Linked DNA regions of Oryctolagus cuniculus. The protein of the gene in region 1 purifies or fractionates together with the protein of each later gene. This does not show direct contact. Links are inferred from orthologs where the notes say so. Each region holds a gene or a part of one and is shown in the gene's direction. Other genes may lie near its edges. The genes, in order: SLMAP, MOB-like protein phocein, STK4, STRN, STK24, STK3 and STRIP1.

The links.
Region 2: the proteins of SLMAP (region 1) and MOB-like protein phocein purify together in Homo sapiens (affinity purification with mass spectrometry; 3 studies listed by BioGRID and IntAct, with this or other methods). This does not show direct contact. The link is inferred for Oryctolagus cuniculus from reciprocal best matches to the Homo sapiens genes SLMAP and MOB4.
Region 3: the proteins of SLMAP (region 1) and STK4 purify together in Homo sapiens (co-immunoprecipitation; 3 studies listed by BioGRID and IntAct, with this or other methods). This does not show direct contact. The link is inferred for Oryctolagus cuniculus from reciprocal best matches to the Homo sapiens genes SLMAP and STK4.
Region 4: the proteins of SLMAP (region 1) and STRN purify together in Homo sapiens (affinity purification with mass spectrometry; 5 studies listed by BioGRID and IntAct, with this or other methods). This does not show direct contact. The link is inferred for Oryctolagus cuniculus from reciprocal best matches to the Homo sapiens genes SLMAP and STRN.
Region 5: the proteins of SLMAP (region 1) and STK24 purify together in Homo sapiens (affinity purification with mass spectrometry; 6 studies listed by BioGRID and IntAct, with this or other methods). This does not show direct contact. The link is inferred for Oryctolagus cuniculus from reciprocal best matches to the Homo sapiens genes SLMAP and STK24.
Region 6: the proteins of SLMAP (region 1) and STK3 purify together in Homo sapiens (affinity purification with western blotting; 3 studies listed by BioGRID and IntAct, with this or other methods). This does not show direct contact. The link is inferred for Oryctolagus cuniculus from reciprocal best matches to the Homo sapiens genes SLMAP and STK3.
Region 7: the proteins of SLMAP (region 1) and STRIP1 purify together in Homo sapiens (affinity purification with mass spectrometry; 4 studies listed by BioGRID and IntAct, with this or other methods). This does not show direct contact. The link is inferred for Oryctolagus cuniculus from reciprocal best matches to the Homo sapiens genes SLMAP and STRIP1.

What each region holds. Positions count from the first base shown.
Region 1 is NC_091441.1:92,023,774-92,027,468, reverse strand, and holds part of SLMAP (sarcolemmal membrane-associated protein), read left to right. Parts: intron 1-2,036; coding exon 2,037-2,174; intron 2,175-3,695. UniProt on the Homo sapiens protein: Associates with the striatin-interacting phosphatase and kinase (STRIPAK) core complex, forming the extended (SIKE1:SLMAP)STRIPAK complex.
Region 2 is NC_091440.1:69,971,429-69,975,550, reverse strand, and holds MOB-like protein phocein, read left to right. Parts: upstream 1-1,203; 5' UTR 1,204-1,213; coding exon 1,214-1,891; 3' UTR 1,892-3,786; downstream 3,787-4,122.
Region 3 is NC_091442.1:14,199,438-14,203,843, reverse strand, and holds the start of STK4 (serine/threonine-protein kinase 4), read left to right. Parts: upstream 1-1,562; 5' UTR 1,563-1,666; coding exon 1,667-1,701; intron 1,702-4,406. UniProt on the Homo sapiens protein: Stress-activated, pro-apoptotic kinase which, following caspase-cleavage, enters the nucleus and induces chromatin condensation followed by internucleosomal DNA fragmentation.
Region 4 is NC_091433.1:165,960,992-165,964,686, forward strand, and holds part of STRN (striatin), read left to right. Parts: intron 1-656; coding exon 657-743; intron 744-1,211; coding exon 1,212-1,355; intron 1,356-3,325; coding exon 3,326-3,462; intron 3,463-3,695. UniProt on the Homo sapiens protein: Calmodulin-binding scaffolding protein which is the center of the striatin-interacting phosphatase and kinase (STRIPAK) complexes.
Region 5 is NC_091440.1:14,087,929-14,091,273, forward strand, and holds the end of STK24 (serine/threonine-protein kinase 24), read left to right. Parts: intron 1-268; coding exon 269-405; intron 406-1,821; coding exon 1,822-1,858; 3' UTR 1,859-2,821; downstream 2,822-3,345. UniProt on the Homo sapiens protein: Serine/threonine-protein kinase that acts on both serine and threonine residues and promotes apoptosis in response to stress stimuli and caspase activation.
Region 6 is NC_091437.1:124,350,140-124,354,467, reverse strand, and holds the start of STK3 (serine/threonine-protein kinase 3), read left to right. Parts: upstream 1-1,513; 5' UTR 1,514-1,773; coding exon 1,774-1,799; intron 1,800-4,328. UniProt on the Homo sapiens protein: Stress-activated, pro-apoptotic kinase which, following caspase-cleavage, enters the nucleus and induces chromatin condensation followed by internucleosomal DNA fragmentation.
Region 7 is NC_091438.1:60,289,532-60,293,768, reverse strand, and holds the start of STRIP1 (striatin-interacting protein 1), read left to right. Parts: upstream 1-1,263; 5' UTR 1,264-1,304; coding exon 1,305-1,484; intron 1,485-3,954; coding exon 3,955-4,024; intron 4,025-4,237. UniProt on the Homo sapiens protein: Plays a role in the regulation of cell morphology and cytoskeletal organization. Required in the cortical actin filament dynamics and cell shape. Part of the striatin-interacting phosphatase and kinase (STRIPAK) complexes.

The sequences.
Region 1 (3,695 bases):
TTCATAAAGATTTATTTTATTTATTTGAAAGACAAAGTTAAAGAGCGAGGTAGAGACAGAGAGAGAGGTCTTCCATCCACTGGTTCACTCCCCAGATAGCCATAACGATCCGAAGCCAGGAGCCAGGAGCTTCTTCTGGGTCTCCCATGTGGATGCAGGGGCCCAAGGACTTGGGCCGTCTTCTGCTTTCCCAGGCTGTAGCAGAGAGCTGGATGGAAGTGGAGCAGCTGGGTCTCGAACTGGCACCCATATGGGATGCCAGCACTTCAGGCCAGGGCTTTAACCTGCTGTGCCACAGCACTGGTCCCCCTCAATATTAATCTTTTAAATTTTTTCTTTATTTGAGAGACATTGAGAGAGTTCCCATCCACTGCTTCATTCCCCCAAATCCAGCAAGAGCTGGGGCTGGTCCAGGCCAAGGCCAAGATCCAGGAGCTTAATCCAGGTCTCCCATATGAGTGGCAGGGAGGTTTATCTCCTGCCTCCCACTAGAAGTAAGCTGGAATTCAGAGCAAATCTGGGTCTCATACTCAGGGCCTCCAATATGAAATGAAGGCTTCCCAAACTATCTTAACCACTAGGCCAAATGCCCACCTGCATATTCATCTTTATTGAGCATAATGGTGAACTCCTTATTAGTCAATTCAAGATACTTATATTATTCAGAAGCACTATTATAAATATTCCTTTATTGAAGAATTTCTAGGATGTACGTAGATTAGGATTTAGAAACTTATATATAATATAATAGCCTTGTAGGCTATATTGAAGGAAGAAGTGGAACCTTTCTGATATGACACATCCATGGTATATTTATTTTCTATTCAGTACTTTATGCCTTGCTTCTAAAAGCTTCATATTTGATAGGGTGGGGCAGCAGAGTCAGGGACAGAGGCACATCTATCAGCAGAACAGGTTCTGCTCTTTGACTGGAAGTCCAGCTTGCAAGGAAGATGTCTGAAAGTGGAACCTGTCTAGAATTCCAGCCTTCTGGGGCCATTTAAAGTAGGGGTGGGTCACACCACATTTCACATTGGTCTTGCCTATGCTCAAGGGAGAGCTAGTTTATCTGAAGGTCAAATTATATACAGTGAACCATTTTCCAGGGCAGGAAGTAGCAAATTTCACTATAGTAAAACTTTTCACAGATTTCTAAAAATATTTTTAGATTTATTTATTTTATTTATTCGAGAGAGAAAGAAAAATATTTCCCATCCTCTAGTTCATTCCCCAAATTCCCACAGTGGCTGGAACTCAATCTAGGTCTCTCACAGGGGTGGCAGGAACCCAACTACTTGTGTGATGACTTGGTACTCCCATGGTGTGCATTAGTAGAAGCTGTAATCAGGAGAGGAGCCAGGACTTGAACCCAGGTACTCAATATGGTACGTGGGTGTCCCAGATGGTATCTTAACTGCTATGCCAAATGCTCACCCCTAAAATTATTTTAATTGATGCTTTTAAGTAGAGAGATCAAAATTTTCCAATCATAGTGGTAAGTATTTTTGATACATTTCTTTGCTTCATTTGGCTAGAAAACTCAATCAGAACACATTAGTGCCCAGTGATGCTGGAATGCTGGATAAAGAAAAGCCTGTTGGGAGTTAATGTCTTTTTACTTTGAGACTAAAATAGCTTGGCTGACTTTGTCCAGGATGTAAACCCAAGCTTCCTAATACTGCCATTTAATTAGGCTATGGAATTTTTCTTTACTTGCTTTTCTTTTGCTCAGTTTAACATTTTGCTTTTCTCCTATAACTTACTTAGTGGAAAATGTGACCTTTTATATTAGAAACAGATGACAAAATGGTGACTCCTGTTAATTCTTTTTTAACTTCAGGGCCAGAAACTTCTTAAATAGATTCACGTCAACATTAAAACATGAGCACGCAAGATTCTTAGCTTGCTTAAAACAAAAAGCCTTAACTTTGATGTTGCAGTTGACTAAATAGGGTCTGGTATATAAGCCTGAATAAAACCATAACTTCATACCCATTTTAAGTTGAGTCTGCACACTCTTTTTTCTTTGCCTTTAGTATGAAAAGACACAGACTGTACTCTCAGAACTGAAGTTGAAGTTTGAAATGACTGAGCAGGAAAAGCAATCAATCACAGATGAGCTCAAACAATGTAAAGACAACCTGAAGCTGCTCCAAGAGAAAGGAAATAATAATGTAAGTCTTTGCAAACTTGGCTTAGCTTTGACTGAAAGGCAGGTGAGAAACTGGAAATTGATTTTCAGTGGACTTTATTACTGATTTGGGAAGCTAATGGCCTGGGGTACAAATGAAATAAGCTTTTCATTATGAAATTCCACAACGGAACCATTGTATTGTCAATATTTTTTAGTAGGAATTTGCCCTTTTAACCTGTACCCCTAGAAGAGCCTGAGTACTGCCTGGACGAAGAGCCCTGTTTGCAATCAAACAGCTTACCTAAGAACTGTCAGCTTTTCCCACTTAAGTCTGAAGTTCTGTCACTAAGCCATCATCTGGCTCTTGTTCCTCCTCTGCTGGAAAATGAAGCACTGTACCACCAGGGATCCATTTAAGGAAAAGTATTACATGTTGACCCTTAGCATTTGGTTGTGTCAAAAACAATGGAGCCTTATTTATGGTTTTCATTTTATACCAATAATGTTCTCACTGAGGCACATCCTAAAAAGCTTAGTGTTTTCTTTGGCATCCTGTAAATAAGAGGAAATACTTGGTGAGTTTCTTTAGGGCTTCTTGAGAAAGAGAGAGAGATGGAGAGAGAAATGGAAAGGAAGAAAGAAAGGAATGGAGGAAGGAAGGAAAAAAGTTTAGGACGTTCTGGTACTGGTATAAATTGAGTTTAATAGCATTTATTTCCACTTGTTAGAAAGGCAGTGGTCTGTAAAAAGATGTTATACTAAATAAATGTTGTGTTGTATGTTTTGGTGATCATTGCCTTTGTGGGCCCTAACTGGTGAATGTTCTGTGTGGTTGGTTGTGCTCTGACTTATTTCAAATCCTTGTCACGGCTTGAACACTGCAGTGGGTTTGAGCCACATGCTTCCTACGGAGGAAGGCACTCTGCCTAACTTGCAGCACGTGTATAAGATTGATGTTGCATGGCCATCCAGTTACGCAGTTGCACACAGAATGCTCAGGAATTGTGTCCAACTGTCCTTGGCTTAAGAAAGTCTTAGTTTGTAAACAATAAAGCTTTGCTGCTTAGGTAGAAACCTTTTAAACAATGGTGAATTATTATATATGGAAGCTTTATGCTAAGTGAAAATAGATTGCATTTTTTAAGAATAAATCTACATTTTAACAGATAGATTATTGAACTCTTCTAAAAACCAGATCTTAATAGTTTGATTACTTCTTCTTTTGTATTAATTCATATCCCTCTGATTATGGAATTTCAGTCTACTTCCTGTTAAGTAAACCTATGAAAACGTGGCATAATAAAAATCCTCTGTACTATTTAGAACCTTTTTAAAAGTAGGAGTACTATTATTATTTGTAGTTATAAAAAAAGAGTCTACCGTAGTGTGAATTTCCTTTGTGATATTGAACTTAAAGTACTAAAATAGTACTCTGTAATAACATTCATGGAACAATTCCCTCTCAGTCATAAAAATTAATTATATTCTGGTAACATAACTGAAAGTCCTGAGACTCAGACGCCTTTTTTTTATATACCAAGGGGTTATCAGGCATTGTGTT
Region 2 (4,122 bases), on another chromosome or scaffold:
GAGTTTCTGATAGACTGTGCTTACTCTTCTAAGTCTTTGTACATGTGTCCAAATAAAGCCATTATTGCAAAAAGCCAGCCAACTTCTCAGGGAAGCAGTAAATGGCTTTTCTCTTTGCAGCCAACATGCAAATTTTGAAGCTCACTGAAAGGGTAGTCTCAGGCTTCACACAAGAGAAAATACAGGAAGACCGAGTCCTGCCAATGTAATTACCAGAGAGAAAGAGCTGACATGCCAGTACTAACAGCCATGGCCAAGGACACTGGTAAGAATTGCCATCATGGGGCTGGCGTTGTGGCATAGCAGGTTAAGCCACCACGTGCAATGCCGGCATCCCATTATGGCACTGATTGGAGTCCTGGCTTCTCCACTTCTGACCCAGATCCCTGCTAGTGTGCCTGGGAAAGCAGTGGAGAATGGCCCAAGTGCTTGAGTCCCTGCACTCATGAGGGAGACCGAGTTCCTGGCTCTTGACTTCAGCCTGGCCCAGCACCAGCCTTGCACCCATCTGGGGAGTGAACTAGTAGATGGGAGATCTCTTTCTCTCCCATCTCTCCCTCTCTCTCTTTCTGCAACTCTACTTTTCAAGGAAATAAAATAAACTGCATCATGAAGACAGGGAACATCAGAACTAATGGTCAAAGGCTAGTGTTCTTTAGGATTTCTTGGGATATTTCAGAGATTTTGGAGCAAGAGAGAGAGGGAAAGGGAGGGAAGGAGGAAGGCAATATCACTATGTTCATAGAATTGTATCTACATGTTACATTGACTGCTTATAACTAATTGAAAATCAAAATTAAAAAATAAAATTTTTAAAAACACATTTACTGTTCTCACTTTTATATATATAATACACACACACACACACACACATATATATATAATTTTCATTTGTTTCTCACTCGGCAACCATTCCTCCTGGTGGCTCTACCTTAGCAAGAATATCCAGATTCTTTTTTGTCTTCCTCTCTCCCTCCCCTCCTGCATCCCTCCCTCACTTCCTCTGTGTGTATCCAGATTCTAATGGTATGACTACAGCATTCCTGTGGCAGCCAAGCACCATCATATCTCCTACCAGGTTGCTCTGCACCCATGCGTGCCTCCCTGGGGTCAGTTCTCAACATAAGTCCAGAGTGATGCATGGTCACAGGAGTTCAAAAACTCACAGATGAATAGAAATTTTCTTAAAAGGCAGGGTGGAGATTCTGGCACTATGGTCATGGCGGAGGGGACGGCAGTGTTGAGGCGGAACAGGCCGGGCACCAAGGCGCAGGATTTCTATAATTGGCCTGATGAATCCTTTGATGAAATGGACAGTACACTTGCTGTTCAGCAGTATATTCAGCAGAACATAAGAGCAGATTGCTCCAATATTGATAAAATTCTTGAACCACCTGAAGGCCAAGATGAAGGTGTATGGAAGTATGAACATTTAAGGCAATTCTGTCTTGAGCTAAATGGACTTGCTGTCAAACTTCAGAGTGAATGCCATCCAGATACTTGTACTCAAATGACAGCAACTGAACAGTGGATTTTTCTGTGTGCAGCTCATAAAACTCCAAAAGAGTGTCCTGCTATAGACTATACTAGACACACGCTTGATGGTGCTGCATGTCTTCTGAATAGCAATAAATATTTTCCTAGCAGGGTTAGCATAAAGGAATCATCTGTAGCAAAACTAGGATCAGTATGCCGTAGGATTTATAGAATATTTTCGCATGCTTATTTTCATCACCGGCAGATATTTGATGAATATGAAAATGAAACCTTTTTGTGTCATCGGTTTACTAAATTTGTGATGAAATACAATTTGATGTCCAAGGATAACCTGATTGTACCAATTTTAGAAGAGGAAGTTCAGAATTCAGTTTCTGGAGAAAGTGAAGCATGAAGGGAATCGTACAGAAAAATGTACTGATCACATAATTAACGTTCATTATGTACTGTATATATCATTTTAGACACATCAATCATGTATTCATATTATAGCTTCTTTGTTTAGATTAGGTTTTTGTATGCTGTGTGTTGCCTTTTAAAAGGGGAAATACTTTTTAAGTTATTCATAAGCTGTATATTCACCGGTGTGGCACTCATGGTTTTTTAAATAAGATTAGTATTATCTGTTTATAATGCCTGTTAATAAAAGAATTTACAGTTTGGTAAAATTGCTGCTAAACAATCATTGGATTACAATCCTCATCAAATAAACCCATATATAAAAAGATGAGTAAGCTTGAGGTCTTGCACAAACCATTTACTAAAGAGATAGTAATGTTTTCCTTTCATTTTGTCCCTGAATTTAGATATTATAGAAAATTCTATAGAACATAAACTGTAAACTTTTCCAAAATGAGATAAAAGTACTTTAAAATTCTGTTTATAGTTTTTGATATGCATTTATGATTATGTGTATATCCAAATATAAATGCAAATGAAGCATTAGTAATTCTTATATAATCTTACTATGCTATATAAAGTATATTCTAGGCCAGCATACTTGGAAAGGATATACCTTTTTACAGCAGTGGACTGTTACATATAAGTTGATGCTAATGATAAGGCACATAAAAGGTATTCCCACTGGAAAACTGTTCACCCCCTTCTCACTTCCCATAATCCTGTCCCCAGATACTTTAGCTGAGAAGTCTTTCACCAGACTGTGACTTAGTGGTGACTTATACCTGTTTATACTCATGTTTGTATTAATTGCTTACAGATTTACCTCATATTAGCAATTATATTACACTACAAGAAAGATGTGTTGGCATAGGCTCTTTGTTTTGTGAAAATTTTCTAACTACTTGGAAGACAGACCTTAAAGCCATTTGATTCTTCCTCTCAGTAATATTAATCTTTTCATCTTACTCTAGGCAGCATTAGAGTTAAAGAAATATTGTAGTATTTATTTTGTACCCTTTCTCCACAAAATTTGAATTAAATACATATGTGAGGTTATTTGCAATAATTGATGCAAGGGTGTTGATGAATGGCCATACATTTTTTAGACTTTGTTGTAGCATATAAGAATTTGGGTGCAGATGTAACGATCTTATAATCTATTGAATGCAGTTTTTCATGGAGTACTAGAGAGGTCTTATTGCCAAATTGATTGTAATGAGGCACTAAGATAGGGTAGAAAAATTATACATGTAGTGAAGAAAATACTTAAACTCATCTCTAAGACATATTTAACAAATGTGAGAAAATTTTTCATTTAAAATAGTTATTTTGAAATGAAGATGAAAATGTATTCATCTTGATTGTCTTCAAAGAAATTATTTATACCATATTATGAGACAAGTATGCAAAGAAAAAAATATGAGAAATAGTAGCATACTGAGAGTGTGTGTATATAGTTTATGCCTTTCCAAGGCTGCCAATCGTTTTGGCTTTGAACAGTACTGTCCCAGCAGCCACAGTCCTTATTGTACCCCAACTCACAGCTATCTTTTAGAAGTTTTATGTTCACGGTGAAAGGAATGTTGAGTTTGAAATTATACGTTTTTTTTTTTTAATGTCACTATAAACTAATGGAATAGTAATTTTTAAGCAAACTTGCTGAATATTGAGAGAATAACCTACTAAGTTAAATTATAGATAGCAATGTAGCTCTTCTCTCTTGATGGTTTCTCATAATGGCTTTCTGTTACTTGACTATTTTCTTGGTGAACATTAGAACTAAAATAGTGACTGGAATTGGTTATCTGGCTAAGGATTTTGAAACACATTTTGAATAATATGACTTAGTGTTTAATGGGGAAATAAAATGATATTTTTTCGTATTCATTCCATCTTCCCTGTACTGTGTTTGGAATTGATCATAAAAGAAAAAAAAAAACTCCAAAAGAAAAAAAAAAAAAAAAAAAGGCAGGGTGGAGGGGGCAAGTGTTTAGTGCTGCAGTTATGTTGCCATTTGGGATGCCAGCATCCAGTACTGGAGTGCTTGCTTTGAATCCTAGTTACTCTGCTTCTGATCTGGCTTCCTGCTAATCTGCACCATGGGAACCAGCAGGTAATGGCTTAAGTACTTGGGTCCCTGCCACACACAGGGAAGATCTGGATGGAGTTCTCTCTGTCTCTCTCTCTCTCTGTGTCTCTCTCTGTCTGTCTCTCTCTTTTTCT
Region 3 (4,406 bases), on another chromosome or scaffold:
ACATGGATTTTGTGGGGTCAGTCCTGGGTTCTTCCTAGCTGTGTCTATGTGAGTCTCAGCTTCCTTATCTGTGAACTGGGGATAATTCTTACTCATACTTCAGATGGCTGTGTTGAGGACTAAGTGGAAGTCTAGGATTGTGTCTGGCACAGGGTAGCTTCTCAGTAAATGTCTTCCTCTTAGGTCAGGGGAACGCTGCCCTATCCCCTGCCGGGAGCACACGGGGTGCCGTGCTTGGGTGGCCCTGAAAGCTAGTTGTTCAGGTGTGGTGTAGGTGCTGTATTCTGGGATAAGCAGGACAATCACAGAGGTTGCTCTGTGTCTAAGTTCTCTGCTGGACCTGCCATTTTCCTAACACTTATTGAAGGGGTAGCTTGCACAATCGTGAGAGTGGGAACTGGAGCTCCGAGTGGAGACAGCAGTCTCCAGGTCCAGCGAGAAATGAGCTTGGCTGCCCAGTTTGGTGTGCAGCCTCTGGAGTCAAATCCATGTGGATTTAAATCCTCAAACTTGTACAACTGTATGACACCGAGGGAAACTATTTCACCTCTCAGCTCTTATGAAATAGGAATAGTATTATTTATAGGACTGTTAGTACTAAATGAGTTACTACTTAGTAACACTGACAGTGTAGTAAGCACTGTCAAATAAGGATATAAATATAATGCTGGTGATAACCTTTCAGGCTTCGTATGCAGATTAAATGAGGTAATAGATCAAGTCAGCCAAGTGTCTATAAAAGCCATTTTGGGGGCTACCGTTGTAGCACAGCGGGTAAAGCTGAGGCCTGCAACAGCCAGCATCCCATATGGGAGCCAGCCAGTTCGCGTCCCCGCTGCTCCACTTCTGACCCAGTTCCCCTACAATGGCCTGGGTAAAGCAGCAGAAGATGGCCCAAGTGTTTGGACCCCTGGCACTCCCGTATTAGACCTGGAAGAAGCTCCTGGCTTTGGCCTAACCCAGCCCTGGCAGTTGCAGCCGTCTAGGGAGGGACCCAACAGACGGAAGGTCTCTTCCTCTAACTCTGACTTTCAAATGAATAAACCTTAAAATCATTCTACTAATTCCCACGATATTTAAAAAATAAACAGTAGCCATTTTCATGTCTGCAGACCCAAAGGTGAGGCTGTTTAGAAAAAGGGTGGAGCAACCTGTGGGTTGGCGCTCTGTCACAGCCAAGGAGAGGATGTGCAGGGGACCATCTGGGACCCGATACGATCAGTACAAAGACGTCCAGGCGCCACCGCAGCGGCATAGGCTCCGACAAATCGTTCAGAACTGGGCTTACGAATCAACAGTTCTAATCAAGTCCGCGCCTCGCCGGCAGCCTCAGTATCTCGGGCAAGAGATGCGGGGGCAATCCGAGGCCGAGGTGGCTTCCCGAGTACCCAGCGTCGCGCACAGCTTGCAGCCACACAGCACACACCGCCAGGAGGAGCCTCCGCAGCTTCGCGGTTCCGGGTTCGCGCCCCGTCGCGACACGTGACTCACGTCCAGCACCACGTGACCCCCACAGCGTCCCCAGCGCCGCCCCCGCGCTCTCGAGCCGCGCGCTGCTTCCGGTAGGGGCGGAAAGCGGAAGTGTGGGAGGGTCTGCGGGGCGGGCCTGGAGAGGTCCCGGGGAGGATGGAGTAGTGCGCGGGGCTGGGCGGCTGCCGGCAGCGCCATGGAGACGGTGCAGCTGAGGAACCCGCCGCGCCGGTGAGGGGCCAGGGGCCAGGCGGGGGGGCATGGCGACCGAGTGAGGAAAAGGCGGGAACTGGCTGAGGGGAGACCCCTGTGTGGGCGGGAAAGGACCAGCGGGCGAGGTGACCCGGCTGATGGGGCACCTGCTGGGGTGGGAGGGGGACGTCTGGCGGGGGGGGGGGTCCGACTCAGGGAGCGCCCACTGGAGCGGGTAAACGGGGGCTGGCCGGGGAGGGGGGAGCACTCGCTGTGCGGGACTTTGCCGAGGAACGCGGCGCAAGTTAGGGGGAGCCCCGGCTGAGGCCAGGGACCACTCGGGACAGCTGTCCTAGACGGGGCTCGCGGGGGTGACGGGGAATGCCCGCCTGGGAGCAGGAGGGCCTCCGAGGGGTCTGGCTGAAAGGCTCGATCGAGAGGGAGCAGGGAGGAAGCCCGGGCCCTGAGTCCCGCCGGAGGGGCGCAGTCCGGGGGCGAGCCATTGGGCGGAAAGCTTTGCGAGTGTGGCCGGGGAGGGGTCGTGGCGGCAGCGCCTGGGGGCTCCCGGTGGTGCCCTCGCCCTGGCGGGATGCTAGCCAAAGTGCCCTCTTAGTTTTTTTCCCGCATCCTTTGAAGCCCTTCGAAATCCAGCGTTAGCATGTCGGTAAGGAAGTAAGAGGATATTTTCCAGGGTGGGCAGACTGAGAGCCAGAGGAGTTGAGACGCATGTGTGTTCGCTGTTTTTGCTCTGAGTCACTGGAAGCTTCTGTGGTTTTACCTGGGATGGCTTTAGGTCAAGAGCGGGGAGGTGGCTGGCGCTGGGTGCACGTGTAGGGCTGATTTCCCTTGTGGATACCCGGGTCTTAGGCCGTCCCGCCCCATCTGGCGAGAAGCGGGGGGCAGAGACCCAGAGTCTGCTTCTCTGGGGTGCCCGTGGCGCTCGCTTGTTTCACCGAGACATCTGACTTCCTGTAGCAGAATGAGCGCTAAAGTAGGAAGTGCTCCGTGTGTGAGAGTGTGGGGCAACCGAGAGGTGAAGAAGGGAAGGGACGGACAGCCCGGGCAGCGCCCTTGGGGGCCCGCATCTAGAAGGCAAGTAGGCGGCTCGGAGGGGCTGGTGATCCCCTGAGTGTCCTATGCTGAGATTGTAATAGCAGTGCCTAGTATTGCGCCCAGCGCTCAGGGGGTGCCCGGCGCCGTTTTAAGTGCTTTCCGTTTGATTCTGATCATTTTTGAACATGAAAATGGTAATTTCATGTGGTTCAGTTTCTTAGTGACAGGTTGGATCTTCACAGTCCCATGAGGCAGGTTTTCCTACATGCCTGTTTTACAGATAATACAACGGAGGCATAGAGATGCTGGTGATTTGCCCGAGGCCCCTTATCGTAAGAGGCAGAGCTGGGATCCTGGTATCCAGGCGGTTTGGTCCAAAGTCTGCTGTTAAAGTGCCTCACTGGAAGCACCCCTGTGTCACAGGTCCTTGTGTGTGTTAACAGGTGCTCACTCCAGCACCATAGTGAGCCACTTACAAATGTGCACTACTTACGCTCCTTTCTGAAATACATTCGTTCCTTCTCCTTGGATTCCTTCTCTGAGACCTTTGTTTAATTGAAAAGAGGATTAGGGATCTTGAGTTTTGCTTCTCCCTGTGCCTTTGATTATATAATCTTCGGGCAGAGGAGTAAATCTTTTTGCTTTTTGACATGCTTATTCTCTCTCTCTCTCTCTGTTTTTTTTTTTTTTTTTTTTTTTTTTTTTTTTTTTTTTTTGACAGGCAGAGTGGACAGTGAGAGAGAGAGACAGAGAGAAAGGTCTTCTTTTGCCCTTGGTTCACCTTCCAATGGCTGCCGTGGCCGGCGCATCACGCCGATCCGAAGCCAGGAGCCAGGTGCTTCTCCTGGTCTCCCATGGGTGCAGGGCCCAAGCACTTGGGCCATCCTCCACTGCACTCCCTGGCCACAGCAGAGAGCTGGCCTGGAAAAGGGGCAACCGGGACAGAATCCGACGCCCCGACCGGGACTAGAACTTGGTGTGCTGGTGCCGCAAGGTGGAGGATTAGCCTGTTGAGCCTCGCGCCGGCCAACATGCTTATTCTTGTACCTTTTGGATTTAAAAAATGTACTAAAAGTGCAAGAAGAGAGCATTGCAGGACTGAGTTCTTGAATGACTGTGTCTCCTGCTCATGACTTGGACTTCCTAATTTGCAGCAGGTTAATAGATTTTTGTTTAGTTTTTTAGGACTGCCTTTTATGAGGTATCATGGACGAGCTGTTTTAAGCAGCAGAAAGTTATTTTCTCATAGTTCTGGAGGCTAGAACTCAGAAGTCAAGGTTTTGGCAAGATGGTTTCTTTTTTTTTTTTTTTAAATTAATTTATTTTATTTGAAAGAGTTACAGGGAGAGAGAGAGAGATATCTTGATCAGTTGTCTATCTGCTGGTTCACTCCCCAGATGGCTGCAACAGCCAGGGTAAGACCAGGTTGAAGCCAGGAGCCAGGAGCTCAATCCAGGTCTCCCACATGGGTGTTCGGGGCCCATATACTTGTATCACCCTCTGCTGCTTTTCCCTGGCCATTAGCAGGGAGCTGAATCGGAAGTGGAATAGCAGGGACGTGGACCAGAGCCCACATGGGATGCTGGTGTCACAGGTGGCCTTAGTGCCAGCCTTGGGTGGTTTCTTTTGAGGTCTCTGTCTTTGACTTGCAGATGACTGTCTCCTCCCTGTGTCTTCACGTGGTCTTCCCT
Region 4 (3,695 bases), on another chromosome or scaffold:
CAAAAATTAATGTCTTTTGAATGTAAAAGTGTACTGATAGAAAAGGGTAGCCAGGACTTGTGTAGAATCCATCGACTCTTACATTGATTATTTGGTGTTTATCAAATATCAAGGTATTGCTGTAGTTGGAATTTAGCACATGAGGTGTAAAACTGCACCATTTGACTGGAACAGTATTCTTGCCAGTGGAAGCAGTTGGATTTTCTGAATCTGGGGATTATGGTCCATTTTCAGGCCTATAGTATATAGTTTTTATAGTATAGTACACTGAAGTTAGACTGTAGACTGACGTTGGCCACATTTATCATCTTAAGTTCACATTATATTGATAAAAGATACCAGTTGAGAACAACTGAAGGCTTATAAAAATAAAACTAAAGCAAAGCTTTGAATAGATACATGAAGCATTAGTTTACAAACTACTATATAAATTTTTAAATTGAATTATTAATCACTAGGAAAGTTCGAGTCTTTTTAATATAATCAAGTTGAAATATTTCCAGTCAAATTGTGTCCTCTAGTCATACTGTCTTGAAATACATTTGTAGGTATTAGTTAAAATTGCTTTAAAATAGTTATATTCTTTGGTGGTATAGGAGAAAAACCATAATGGACTATGGGTAAGATTTTCCCATTCTTAATTAAACTTATAACAGGAAAAACTACCGAAGATCTGTTTCAGCCTCTATGCTATATAAAACAGTCAAAACAGGGATGTGGGAGAATGAAGAATCAAAGCTCAGGTAAGTAACTGACAGGGCCTAAGACTTCACCTCAGGATGATAGCTTCAAGATGGAAGGCACTGAATGCGTCTTAATTTAAATAGGGATGTCATTGTTTAATTTAGTACTCTGTAGGTTCATAATCTGTGGTATCTGTCATCATTTAACGTGATAGACAATGGTTGGATTATAAACTAATATTACTTGTAATGATCCAGATGGACATGATATACATGTTTATGCAAATGTGATATTGCATTCACTTATAAAAATACATGTAAAATGCAATTGTTTTCAGGAATAGTACATTTTTAAAATAATTTGAAAACTTTGAAAATAATTAATCCAGTAGAATATTTTTAAAGATGAATGTCAACGGATGTGAAATAAGATTTATGGTACCTTTTTGATGCAGTGGAATAATTCTGTTTCCTCTTTTTTATTTTCCTCTCCCCCTACCTTTTTTTTTTTTTTTTTTTTTTTGATAGGGCCCAATAGGTCAAAACTACAAGATATGCTTGCTAATTTGAGAGATGTTGATGAACTTCCTTCATTGCAGCCATCTGTCGGTTCACCTTCCAGACCCAGTAGTTCCAGACTTCCTGAACATGAAATTAATAGGGCAGATGAAGGCAAGTATTTCAGATATTTTGGGCCACAGAAAGCACTTGATGAATCTCTCTCAGTTAAGATGTTAGAAAGGACTCTTACCTTTGAGAGAATTTTATTCTGCAAATAGTTGATCTATATGGAATTCCTTAAATGCAAGCTTTGTTGCATTCAAGGGAGTTTGATTTCAACTTCAGTCTTTAAGATAAGGGAAAATTAGTGTTATTACTTGGAGACTCAAAAATATTTAAGCAGCTTATCACTGATAAATGGAAATGGGGAAAAGTCACCTGAAGGTCTAATCACATCTTCTACTTTCTGCTTTTTCTCATTCCCTTTCAGTCCTGACCCACATGCATATAGTTTTACATAGGTTAGTCTTCATGTAGAGTAATTCTTTCTTACTTTATTTGCTTAATATAAGATCATACCAATAACTTTATTATTATAATTTTAAGATTATTTATTTAGAGTTAATATGAGATCAGTATTTAGGTTGTGCCCAGTTTTTTACAGTATAATCTTATGCTTATATATTTCTTTTAGATACAAGTTCTATTATAAATGTATAAAATGCTTATATGTGAAAATTGATTTCAGAGTATACATTTCTATTAGCTGATAATCCAGGATCACATAAACATAATTTTTGTTAATAAAAATTTTTCAAATTTTATTTTAAAAATTTCCTTGATCTTAAATACTATAATTTCTTACAATTTATATGTCCATTCAAATGAATATTTATGGAACAAAACAGCCTGAGAAAAAGCCACAGAATAAAAATTGTATTTTTCTTTTTTTTTTGAATTCAGGTGCATTGTTAAAGAGACATAAAGTGAAAAGATTGCGAATTTTCATGTTTGAATAGTTTTTCAGTGCAATTTTTGGCCCATGAGTAATTTAGCATAGTTGTAATTTATTACTCGTGTAAAGAATCATTGTGTCATACTCTAGATGTGCAATTTATTTGAGGTAGATTCATGTCTTTTGAATTACAAATTTGAAATCGTGGTCCTCAGTAGATCTGTTCACTAGTAGATTTGTTCCACTGACATTATGGAAACAAGACTTACTCAGTTTCATTTACTTGAAGATTAGGTCTTAGATATGGAGGAAAATAGTTTTTCTCTTATTCTCAAAAAGAGTTTTTATCAGAGATTCCATCCTGTATCATACATAAATTAGAATTCTTGTAAGAGAGGCAGAATACTGTTTACTACGTGATTTGGGCCATCCTCCACTGCTTTCCCAGGCCATAGCAGACAGCTGGATGGGAAGTGGAGCAGCTGGAACTTGAACCGGTGCCCATGTGGCATGCTGGCACTGTAGGCAGAGGCTTTACCTGCTATGCCACAGCACCAGCCCCTGTATATTTTCTATATTGTGAAAAGGGAAGAACAGTTGATTATTAGATTTGTTTTATGTTTACTCTTTTTTTTTTTTTTTTTTTTTGACAGGCAGAGTGGACAGTGAGAGAGAGAGACAGGGAGAAAGGTCTTCCTTTGCCGTTGGTTCACCCTCCAGTGGCCGCCGCGGCCGGTGTGCTGCGGCCGGCGCACTGCGCTGATCCGATGGCAGGAGCCAGGTACTTCTCCTGGTCTCCCATGGGGTGCAGGGCCCAAGTACTTGGGCCATCCTCCACTGTACTCCCTGGCCACAGCAGAGAGCTGGCCTGGAAGAGGGGCAACTGGGACAGAATCCGGTGCCCCGACCGGGACTAGAACCTGGTGTGCCGGTGCCACAAGGTGGAGGATTAGCCTAGTGAGCCACGGCGCCGGCCTGTTTTACTCTTCTAATTAGTTAATCCCTTCAGCTGTGGTTAAGGTATGGATAAAGCAATAAATTCCTCAGGGTTTTCTGCTCACTGAATTTTATTGTGTTTAAAAGCACTTTACAATAATTAAATGTATACATACCCTTTCAAGAAAATTGATAGAAGCAAATTAGACTAATTATTGGCTCTTCAGAGGTATGTTATGTTTCCTTTCAGTGGAAGCATTAACATTTCCTCCTTCTTCTGGGAAGTCATTCATCATGGGAGCTGATGAAGCCCTTGAAAGTGAACTGGGACTTGGAGAATTAGCAGGCCTTACAGTGGCCAATGAAGCAGATTCACTAACTTATGATGTAAGTATTTTTTAAAATGTTTTCATAAGTATATAGCTTGTTCAGTTTTAATTGTAAATATTGAGCATCGTATTTTTGCTTTTGTTGTTTTCTGCTTAAGTCAAGTATCATTTCTGTTGTTGGTCCTTTAATGGTCTGATTCTTTTCTCTGATTTTATTTATGACTTTATTGTCAGACGAAGTTTGATTTTTTGTTTAAACTTCTTGAAGCTCTTAGATCTTCATGGCTTTAC
Region 5 (3,345 bases), on another chromosome or scaffold:
CGGCGCCCCCTCTCAGCGGCAGAGTCCTGTCGCCCACCGGGCTGCCCTCCTCCCCGAAGCCAGTGTGACTCCTGCTGCACTTGACGTTGCTTTTCTGTAACGGCAGAAGGAGCCAGCAGGCACAGCCTCACGGTCAGATCTGGAGGAGGCACAGGAAGCCGCTGGTCTCTGTGCTGCCTGCTGCCCTGCCCTGCCCTGCCCTGCCCCTCCCTCTCGCTGCTCTCGGCCGGGACCCGCGCACTCAGTGCCCTGTGCTCCTGTGTTGCAGCTGAAGGAGAAGAGCCAGGCGTGCGGAGGGAGCGTGGGTTCCATCGAGGAGCTGCGTGGGGCCATCTACCTGGCGGAGGAGGCCTGCCCCGGGATCTCCGACACCATGGTGGCCCAGCTCGTGCAGCGGCTGCAGAGGTGATGTGCTCGCCACGCTGCCTGTCCCTTGGCGCCTCCTCCTCGTACCTGCCTCTCTTGTTCCAGGCCACAAGGCGAAAGTAGGAGCAAGTTAGGGCAGACGTGTCTGGAATTCTGTGCAAATCAGTAGGCGTGAGTGACAGGACGCCAGAAACCAGCTGCAGGGCCACGGGACCCTGCACGTTGCAGCTCTTGCCACAGAAGTATGGGCTGATGGCCACGTGTCTGCCCACTCCTGAGTGTGTGCCCAGTTACTATTCGGAGAGGTAGCGTGCGTAGCCCTGCGAGCGACCACTGTCCAGCAACACGCAGGCTGCGGCACAGAGAGCCAGCAGCCGCCTGCTGCTCGGCCTCACTCCCGCTTCTGGCCTTAACCCTGGGGGATCCCCTCAGACTGGGAGCGACTGTGCGTGAAGCGCTCCAGAGCCTGTCTCCATCTCAGTTGGGGTTCGCTGAATTCTCTCGTGTTGTCAGCTCGTCCCATGATCTCATTTTTTAAGTTCTGGAAGCTAGAGTCAGGGTCTGTGGCTAGCACTTGCTGTTAAGAGACTTTACGTAACCATGAGTGGTCTGGGACAGCGCCGAGGGCTGGAAAGTTTGAGGAAAGTCACCAATACATCCTTGGCCAGGTTCTGCACCGTAAAGGGTGACAGCATCATAGAGTGGAGACTGCGTGACCCCTGGCCCCCGACCCCGTCACCTGCTGCACTGCCTTCCCTTGTCACATGCGAGCCGTGAGCACGTACCAGGGTTGTGAGTGCACAGAGGCCTTGTTAGACGTGGCCTGGGACATTGTGCGTTGCCCAGGACACAGGTAATCCTGTGCATACTTGCTAACTGGTGTAGATTCTTCATCTCACTTAGAAGTACAGGTCATTAGAATCTTAGTCTGTTTCATCCAGCTTGCATAATTTACTCACCTGTTTCTTTGTTGTTGGGCATAAAACTTTTTTCTTGTGATCATAGTAAATTTTGAAACATCTCGAGAGCGGTCTGTCTCCACACGTGGCTACAGAGTGGGCTGCTTGGATGAGGTCGGAGCTTTTGTGACTGGAAATGGTTGCCTGCGCTCACGCCCCCGCCACGTGCGTGCGGCCCGGGCGGCTGTGTGGCTGGGGCTTCCCCATTAGCTGTTGGAGGTTGCCGAGTCTGTGGGGAGTCACTTCCGGCTTCACTCCCGGCGTCCCTGCGGCCAGGCCGAGCACGTCCTGCCGTGCTGTTGTGCCCTGTGCAGGCGTCTGTGTTGCAGCCGTGATGCCTGTCATCGTCACGCGTCGTTTGGATGGTAGACTGATGACGCTGTTCATGTTGGCTCCATTTACGTTCCTGCAGCTTGGGTTGCTGTTGCCGTTGGTTCGAGTCTTCCCGTGGGGCCTGGAGGCGGCACTCACTCGGCTCCTCTTCTCTTCTCCCCAGGTACTCTCTGAGTGGCGGAGGAACCTCGTCGCACTGAGACGCCTTGGCATTTTGGGTTTTGTGTTTTTCTTTCTTCTTCATCCTCCTCCTTAAGAGTCAAGGAGAGCCTTTGCTGACTGCTGAACAGGTGCGCGGCCCAGGGGCCGTCCCCCCGGCCGCCGGCGCCCGGCGCGGGACACGTGGCGGCCCTCGCCGTGCCGCGGCCAGATGAAGTCTCCGGGACGGATGGGGTGGGGCTGTGCCTGCGCCTGCAAGCGATTGTTTTATTATTCCTGTTTTTACTTTTCACCATAGTGCACATATTCAAGGAGAGTGTCTTTAAAACTCACACAAACCGGAAGTGTATATTTGGGATTCCGATCAGGCAATGCAGACGCGAAACCTCAGGTATCCTGCTTCAAGCTGACAGCTCCCCCGGGAGACGCAGAATCGCTCTGGCGGGTCGGTGTACAGATCTGTATATAGTGTCATTTTTACGGAAACCCTTTTGGCGTGCATAAGGAATCACTGTGTACAAACTGGCCAAGTGCTTCTGTAGATAATGTCAGTGGAGTAAATATTTGACAGGCCATAACTTGAGTCTATTGCCTTGCCTTTATTACATGTAAATTTTGAATTATGTGAGCAGTGACTTGGGTTTTATTTTGTACTTGCAGGGTTTGCCATGAGTAATAACTCCCGCTCCTCTCTGTACCTCAGCACAGGCGCCATCCCCTTGGTACACTTAGATGTTGGTTTCCTGTCCCATTGATGGTACTATTTCTTGGTGTTTTAAATCGGAACATATCTTGTCTCATGGAGCTTTAAGTTATTGTTTCACGTTTCTCCCGGATGCCGCGCCCTGGGCCAGCCTTTGTTTGGAGTCGTGCCACTGCCGGTGTGCGCCGGATGTACCGTCTTCTCCCAGTACGATTTTCTGTTGCACCTTGTAGTGGAATCTGCATATCATTTCTGCCACCTAAAACGTCTGAATGCTTACACGAATAAATTTTATAACACACTTACCTTGCATACTCTCCTTGGGACGCGGCTCTGCGGAGCCCAGGGCGGCCGTGCCGTGTATGTATGTGTGGCTGCATGTGTGCCAGGACGGCAGAGGGGCCAGTGTCCGTGCCCGCCCCCTGCAGCTCGAGACGGGCCCTGGAGGACATGGCGTGGCGCTCGCCTGGAGGCACCCTGTGGGTTTCTGGGACGGCGATTTCTCCTGCCCTGTGGACGTGTGTTGATGCTGCCAATTGTTGGGAGTGGCGGTTCTTGGGGGAGCAAGGCAGGCAGTGAGCGGGTGACCCTCAGGGCGAGTCTCTGGCTGGCCATTCCGGGGAGAGGGGCAGAGGCCGAGCCGGGAGTGTTGGAGGGATGCTGGCTGTTCTGACTGGTGCCAGTTGTGTTTTCAAACTCTCAGGATGTTCTCGGAAGTGAGCTTGGCTGGAACGGTTAGTGTCTGAGGGATGCGTTTTGGTCGGGGATAGAACCAAGGTGCTCACCCTGGCCTGTGGCTAGAATGTGGCTGGGACAGGAGACTGG
Region 6 (4,328 bases), on another chromosome or scaffold:
CAGGAGCCCAGAGCTGCTTCAGGGTCTCCAACATGGGTGTAGAGTCCAAGCACTTGGGTCATCTCCTGCTGCTTTCCCAGGTGCGTTAGCAGGGAGGAGGATTGGAAGTGGAATAGCTTGGGCTCAAACTGGCGCCCATTTGGGATGCTGATGTTGATGTCCAGGGGAGGCTTAACCTGCTATGCCATAACGCTAGCACCAGAATGGGCTCATTTCAAAGGCTCTTTCCAGTTTTAACGTCTTAGTGATTTAGTGTATTGTTGTTCTTCTTCTTGTTATTTCTGAGCAGACTGTGGATCTTTAATAAATGCAAAAATGCATAAAATGTTTAATCTCTCTTCACAGAATTTGACTTTGTTTCAATAATACAAGATCTTTGTGAATGTAAAATAACAAAATTAGGGGAGCATATAATGGTTTAAAAACAAATCCGACCAGCCTAGCCCCAGCTGTTGTAGGCATTTGGGGAATGAACCAGGGACGGGCGCTTTCTATCTCTGTCTCTCAAAAAAAAAAAAAACAAAAAAAAAAAGTAAGCTTATTACAATGAAACTTAAAATAATGCAAAAAGAAGACTAAGCTTGTCTAGACTGCTAATAGACAAGATCAATTTAGGTTAATATTCATATTATTCAACACTTTTTTCATTGTTCTAACCACCAAAAAAGCCCCGTACAACTGTACATCTTGGCGACTTCTAACGAAAACTAGCAAATTCGTAATGTCGTGGCTGTATGTGCTCATTAGAAAAATCATATGCACGAATTTAATCAACACACACAATATGGATGAATGAGGGCGTCAAATTACAATAGGGTGAGCTCTGCTGGGAGCAGGTTTGGGGGAAAGGCCAGAAGAAGGAAAGCCACTTTCTTTTCTAGGCACCAGAAGTTGTGATAAGCTTGCCAGCTTATCCATCCGGCCAGAGAGCAATACCCCGGTGCACCGAACCTTGGTGCCGGGAGAGCTCTCACTACAGCAATTATTTTCTCTGTAATTAGACGTAATTATTGTGAAATGTAGCGAGGCGCACAGTCAAAATCAAACCAGAATTTCCAGAAGTATCCTTAGTACTGAAGCTACAAATGTCAAATGGCTGGGAAAAAACATAACCAGTAATTATAAACAAAACTAGAGAAGGAAGCGTGGGCAGTTAGTAATACTTCAAAGGCCTTTGGGATGCACCCTTGGGAATCCAGAGAAATGAGTCCAATCAGATGCGGGCAAGTGCAGAAAAGGCAGGAGGGGTGCAGCTCTGGCCCCGCTCAAAGGGACGCGCCCCGCACCTGCCTAGGCCGGCTCCGGGATCCCGCGAAGGCCTCATCCGGGTGCTCGCCCACTACCACCTCCGTCTTTCCCTCTCCGAGGCAACGGCCCGCCCCTTCCTCCGCCCTCGTCTCCACCTCCTCCCCACCTCCAAGGCGCCTGGCTCCGCCCACCCACCCTGAGCTGAGCCGCGGCCGGCCACGCCCACCCAGCGCAGGGCCAGGCTCCGCCCACCCCCGCCTGGCCGCGGCCGGCTCCGCCCACCCAGGGCGCTGGGCTCTACCCGCCGTCTCAGGGCCGCTGCCGGCGGCCGAGGGGCGGGGCGGGCCGGGAGGAGCCGCGCTCCGGAGCGGGAGGGAGATCCGCCGTGGAGTTACGGGAAAGTTGGTCCGAGTTCCCGGAGTTTTTCTCTGTGGTTCCCTGGGGCTCGGTCTGCCGGCACCCCGGCTCCATTCCTGCCTCTGGCCTTCGCGGTCCATCGGGTCCCTGTTTCTGCCCCCGGCCGCCATGGAGCAGCCGCCGGCGCCCAAGAGGTAACGAGCACTAGGAGCGGGCAGCCCGAGGGGAGCGGCGGCCGCAGGGCGGAGGCGGCTAGGCCGGGCTCTACCGCGACCCTCTCTCCGCCTTGCCGGGACCCGAGCCTGGCGCGCCGAGGGTCGGGAGGCAGGTCCGAGTGCCCGGCGCCATCTGTCCGCGGGGCGACTGGGCCTGAGGGGAGTGGGAGCCCGCCCCGGGCCGGCAGGGCCTGGCGCGCGTGGGGAGTTGGGTGGGCAGCGCCAGGCTCCCCCGGGCCTGACCTCCGGGGCCGGGCAGGGTTTTCCCCTCGTGGCGAGTTCACGCAGCCTGGAAGCCCTAAAACTAGGAAATTATGTACAATTATTTACAACCACGTAGGCTCTCTTGTCAAAGTATTTTTCATAATATTGTCCCCCCCCCATCCTTTTTGGGAAAAGGCGGGTTGTTTATTTACAGTTAAGGAATTAAATATTAATAGCCACAGAGTTTGTAAAACTTACTGTGAGTATGCCGCACTGACAGGTGTTCCTCCTCCTCCCCCTCAAGTTCAGAAGTATTTGTGGAGGCAAGACAGTAGAAATCTTAGAACCCTCCTCCATCGACTTTTGCATGTATAAATAGTGATGCTTTGGTATGGTATTCATCGTTATTTGCTCTTTGATAGATTAGCAATGTATGTGTACAGAGTAGATGTGTTAAGTATTTGCAGTGATCTTAGGAAGCTAAATCAAGGTTATTCATTGATGCAGGTTCATAATGTGCGTTTTCACCTTAAGAGCGAATCAGCTTATTGACGTTGGATAACACATTTAACCTCAGTCTTGTTTTTTTTTTTTTTTTTTAATTTATAAAAAATAAGGGCACTTCTCTCTCTCCTGGGGAGAGCTGTTGTGTCGATTAAAGAGTTCATGTGCTTTGATGCCTAGAGATCTTTAGATGAAAGGTGGAATAATTAAAAAGGTGGGAGCTTTGGGAGCTGTTGAGAGTTGTGAGACTAGAGACCTGTGTGGCCTGGAAACCATCTGTGCAGGGGGTGGGGATGGGGATGGGTGTGTCCTAGAGGGATTTTTCAAAAGGGCTATCAGCTAGGAGAGCCCAAGGTAACGGATAAATTATTTTCTAGAATTTTCTAGGGTGTCTGTATTCTAGTACTCACTGGGCACTCCCTTTGCTACTACAGAGAGAATTGGGCCCTTTTTCTTTCCTGTGTTGGGAGGACTGTAAGTGGGACACCTCTGAGATCATGCCAGAGGCCAACTTGAAAGAGTTTGAATGGAAGCATCGGCTCTGTCTGTTGATTATTTCTGCTGTCAGTTCTGCCGGTTGCATTATAGGTGTAAGAGAATCTGTGGCCTTGCAGAGACACTAGACAATCTGGAAGAGTCTGGGGGAGGTGTGGGTGGTGGTGCCATGGTGATTTATACTTTTCAAAGTGGTGGTTGCACATTAGCAGACTTATTTTTAGCTCTTTTCAGAGAGACTTATTTTGATACAGGAAGGCATTTCTGAAGAGCAAAAGATGCGTGAAATGAATCCTTTATATTTAAATATCTCAAGATTTTTTCATGGCGTTTTCCTATCCATAATATTTAATCCTCACACCAACCCTGTGGAGAATTTGGATTAGAGGCATTAATCCTGGTTTATAGATGAGGACATTGAGAGAGTTTCCACAGGGGAAGAAGGCTATGCAGGAATTACAGTGTATATTTGTGTTACTCCCTTGATCATTGCCTTCTAGTAATAAAATATAGCTACTATTTTTGAGATCATAATATTCACTAGGAAATTTATACAGTCAAGCATTGCTTAATGACAAGGATAGTTCTGAGATATGTGTCACCAGGCAATTACACAGTCATGCGAACACCATACAGTATACTTAATTAAACTGAGACAGCTGTGATGGATGATATATGGCTAGGTGATGTCATCTTTTGGGACCATCTTCATATGTGATCTGTCATAGACATGAGGTTCATGACTATATATACGTTCTTTTATTTAGTGATTGTTAGAAATAGTAATCCTGGCTCCATTTCTTAGTATATTAGTATGTTCTTTTTTATTTTTATTTTTTGAAAAATTTTTTTTATTTGACAGAGTTAGAGAGAGACAGAGAAAGGTCTTCCTTCTGTTGGTTCACTCTCTAAATGGCCGCTACGGCCAACGCTGTGCTGATCCGAAGCCAGGAGCCAGGTGCTTCCGCCTTGTCTCCCAGGCGGGTGCGGGCACCAGTGCCCTCCCTGGCCACAGCAGAGAGCTGGCCTGGAAGAGGAACAGCCGGGACTAGAACCCAGCGCTCATATGGGATGCCGGTGCCACAGGCGGAGGATTAGCCAAGTGAGCCATGGCACCGGCCTCTTTTTTATTTTTTAAAGATTTATTTTTATTTATTTGAAAGACAAAGTTACAGAGAGAAAGGAAGATACAGAGAGATCTTCCATCTGCTGGTTCACTCTCCAAATGGCCACAATGGCTGGGACTAAGCCAGGCAGAAACCAGGAGGCAAGATCTTCTTCCGGGTCTCCCACGTGGGTGCAGGG
Region 7 (4,237 bases), on another chromosome or scaffold:
AGTCTTCTGCCTGACCAGGCCTGAACTGGGGCTCCCTTCTCTGTCCTTGTTGAATCCAGTTTGAGCAAGAATCCTGCAAAGTCAGTTTAACAAAAAACTCACCCTTGATGTGGGACCACTCTTGATGTCTCAGTACTCTGGCTGCCCCCAGCAGTAATCCTGTCAAGTCAGCTTAGTCAGAAACCTTACCCTTGATGCTTCCTCCTAGTAGTTTTTGGTCCACGGATCCTCACTTGTCCTTTTTGGAGGCAAAGTTAGGTTCAATCTCTCCCTTAAGGCAAGCCAAAGTTGCAGTGGCCCCTATACTTGTGCCCTGTTGAACAAATTCTGCCCTGATATCTTTAAATGTTTTTTTGTTTTTTTTTTTGACAGGCAGAGTGGACAGTGAGAGAGAGAGACAGAGAGAAAGGTCTTCCTTTGCCGTTGGTTCACCCTCCACTGGCTGCCGCGGCCGGCGCACTGCGGCCGGCGCACCACGCTGATCCGATGGCAGGAGCCAGGAGCCAGGTGCTTTTCCTGGTCTCCCATGGGGTGCAGGGCCCAAGCACCTGGGCCATCCTCCACTGCACTACCTGGCCATAGCAGAGAGCTGGCCTGGAAGAGGGGCAACCGGGACAGAATCCGGTGCCCTGACCGGGACTAGAACCCGGTGTGCCGGCGCCGCAAGGTGGAGGATTAGCCTATTGAGCCACGGCGCCGGCTCTGCCCTGATATCTTTAACAAGTGTCATGAATACCTTTTCCTCGAATACCTCACAGCCTTATTTCTCTAATATCACCCTTTTTTGTTCATTGTTTGGCCCACTAGGCATTTATGGACTGGGAGTTTTCTCTGTGCTATCTCACTGCTTAAGCATAGCAGACAATGAGTGCACGTGCCACACTGTGATTGATTTAGTCGTGCATGGCTACCCCAAATGAGTGCAAACTCCATGAAAAGGTCTTATCCATCTTGTTCCCTACGGTATCCCTAAGTTTTGAACACTGCTATGACATTGCTAAGTGTAAATCGATTTTAGAGGAAAGAGGGGGGCCGCTAAACAGACTGAACGAGATAGAGCAGGCCTCACACACAGAACGACATCTGAGTAGAACTGGAGAGAAAGAGCAGAAACTGAAAAGACCAAGAAAACCAGTATTTCAGCCAGGAGAAATATCGCGAGATGTCGGGCAGCCAAGATGGCTTCCCGCACTTGCCGCCACACTCAATATGGCGAACAGAGAGAGCGTTCCTGGAGGAAGTCACGCGAGATTTGCATCCCGGGGACTGTTCGTGAATTGAGCCGGGGGTGTGGAACAGCCAAGATGGAGCCGGCAGCCGGTGGTCCAGGCCCTCTGATTGTGAATAACAAACAGCCTCAGCCGCCGCCACCTCCACCGCCCGCGGCTGCGCAGCCTCCCCCTGGAGCACCGCGAGCGGGCGGAGGCCTCTTGCCCGGAGGCAAAACCCGCGAGTTCAACCGCAACCAGCGCAAAGACTCGGAGGTCAGGAGCTTCTGGGGGCGAGGCTAGGACCCGGCGGGCGGCGGCTGGGGGCCCGGGCTCGCGCTCGCGGCCGAGCTGGGCTTCCCGGGGGGTTCGGCGGGGCGGGACCGGGGAGCTGTCACTTTACAGCCGAAGGAGCAGGCAGCGAGGCTGGTGTGGCAGTTCCCCGGGCCGGGGGCGTGAGGCTGGCAGCGCCGCCCGAGACAGGCTCCCGGAGCCGGCATCCACCCGCTGGCTCCCGCGGACAAGCCGCCCCCGCCGCGGCCGCCGATGAAAAGCGGGCGCCCCCAGTCTCTTATCCTCTCGGTGGAGGGCGCCGACCGGACGGCGCGGGCGGGCAGGGAGGCGGCTGGCGAGGGTTTAGACACAAGGCGCCTGGAAGGCGGATGGAGCTAATGACCACTCATAGTACAGCGAGGCCGGAGCTTTCGAGAGCAGGGGGCGTTGCCTCTGGTGCAGGCTCCGGCCATGGGTTGGCAGTGCTTGGTGTGCCCAGAGCGCCCGATGCTGGGGGCCCTTAAAGGATTAGACGCACTCGTGCCGGGGACCCAGGCTTCGCTCGAGTTCCAGGGGCGCCGGCTGGGGAGCAGCTGACTGCTCACCTCGCCCCGAGAGAAGGCGTTGCTCCTACCGCTTCCCTGCGCAGATTCATGAATGAAGACGCACGTCGCAGCGTTGTAGGGCATCGTAATCAGCGCGTGCCAGAGCTCTTACTATGCAGTCTCCTTCACCTGACGCAATCCCGGGCCGCTCCGCCGACTGGCGCTGATGAGTGAGAGGGAGCCATCGCTGTCCAGGCGCAGTGTCCCCACTCTTCCCCGCCGCAGAGCCGGGATACTGGCTTTGGACGTGCAGGATCAGCTCCTCTCCGTCTTCTGTGCTTTTGTTGCAACCCCAGACCTCTGGTGTAAAACACTGGCAAGCTCAGAGTTGGAGCTGGAAGTGAATTCTTTGGAAAAGCAAAGGAAACCGACGTTTGTGGGACCCGTGGGTGGTGGGACATCCAGGAGGACGACTCAGTACTTTTTCAAGCACGGGGAGGTTGTGAGAGTGAGGGGCGTAAGCCCACCTTCATCCTGAGAGGGGTTATTTTTGAAAATGGCTTTACATTTTCCTGAGTAGCCATGACCAGTTGAATACCGTTGGGTGCATTTTCACGTCTCTTACTACCTTTTCATTTCCACCGAGACTGAACCCACGGGAGGCCAGGAGACTGTCTGCAGGTGTCTCCTTAAGGTGCAGAGGCTGAGTCAGGCGGAAGGCAGTAGCTGGGAGCTGGATCTATGCCTGGGAGATAGGGAGGCTGATCTCTGCCGAGAGCGCTCTGTGCTACATAATCCTGATCGGTTCTTAAAAACCTGCAGGGTAGACTTTCCTCATCCCCATTCCAAAAAGGAAGAAACTGGGGCTGGCACTGTGGCGTGGTGGGTTAAGCCATCGCCTGCGAGGCCCACATCCCATATGGGCACTGGTTCAAGTCCCAGCTGCTCCACTTCTGACCCAGCTCTCTGCTATGGCCTGGGAAAGCAGCGGAAGATGGCCCAAGCGTTTGGGGTCCTGCACCCGTGTGGGAGACCCAGATGAAGTGCCTGACTTTCGCCTGGCCCAGCCCTGCCTGTTGTGGTCATTTGGGGAGTGAAGCAGTGGGTGAAAGTTCTCGTTCTCTGTCTCTCTCTCTCTCTCTGTAACTCTGACTTTCAAATGACTAAGTAAAGTAAATCTTCTAAAAAGGAAAGTGCGAAGCTCAGTGACTTGGGAGAGGGGTCGTGTGTTGTCTCGGAATAAGGGGCAGAGCTCTTGTTGTAGATGTTACCTAAGACTGAGGGTGGGAACCGCTCTCTTCACCACTCTGCTATCGCGAGGCCTACAGGACGGTGTGTTCTGGGTAATCACCTGTGCCCAGCAGTGAAAAGGGTCTGTCGCATTCTCCTGTGTGTGGGAGGCGGGCCCATCTGTTTGCTGCCTTCTCTGTCAGTTCTCACTGCAGTTTGAGACAAGGGCGAGAGACTAAGAGTTTGAATGCTGGGTTGATAGCCCACTAGCTGCCTAGATTCTGGAATCCTAGCACTTTGTGGAATAGTGGCTTCAGGGCACAACGTACTTGGAAGCTTTGTGTTCGTTCATTTGAGAGGGATTTGAATATAAAGCAGTGGAGGACTGTGCTGGGCATTGTGAAATCGCTGCTGATCAACGTGGACTGACTTCCTGCTTTCAAGGGCCTTGCAGTCTCGTGGCGAGGTGGAAACTGGACCCCACATGCAGTAGTTACAGGCGCTCTGGAGGGACAGGATAAGGTGCTCTGAGACGGCTTGGTGGGGAGGAGCGCGGGGCTAGCCCAGGAGACGAAATATGGTGATCGAACAGCAAGCAAAGGGGAGGCAGTGGTTTCCTGGGAACAGTGGTGGCTCTGGGTGCATTTCTGTTTCCTGCTTTGTAAAGTACGCGTAACGCTGTCTCCTTTTGTCAACAGGGCTACTCCGAGTCACCAGACCTTGAGTTTGAATATGCTGACACAGACAAGTGGGCCGCAGAGCTGTCGGGTAAAGCACAGTCCTTTTGTCATCTGGGGGCAGTTTTCTCCATATTGGTCTTTACGGAGATTTACAATGTGTATCATTTTGGAATCATTTTTTCCTTAGTTGTATCAGTGATACACACACACACATATGTATGCATACATATATGTGAATAGTATGTTATTTTGTTTAAGTTTTGTGTACCTTGAAACTGGGTTCGATCGTTCTTTTGTTTGT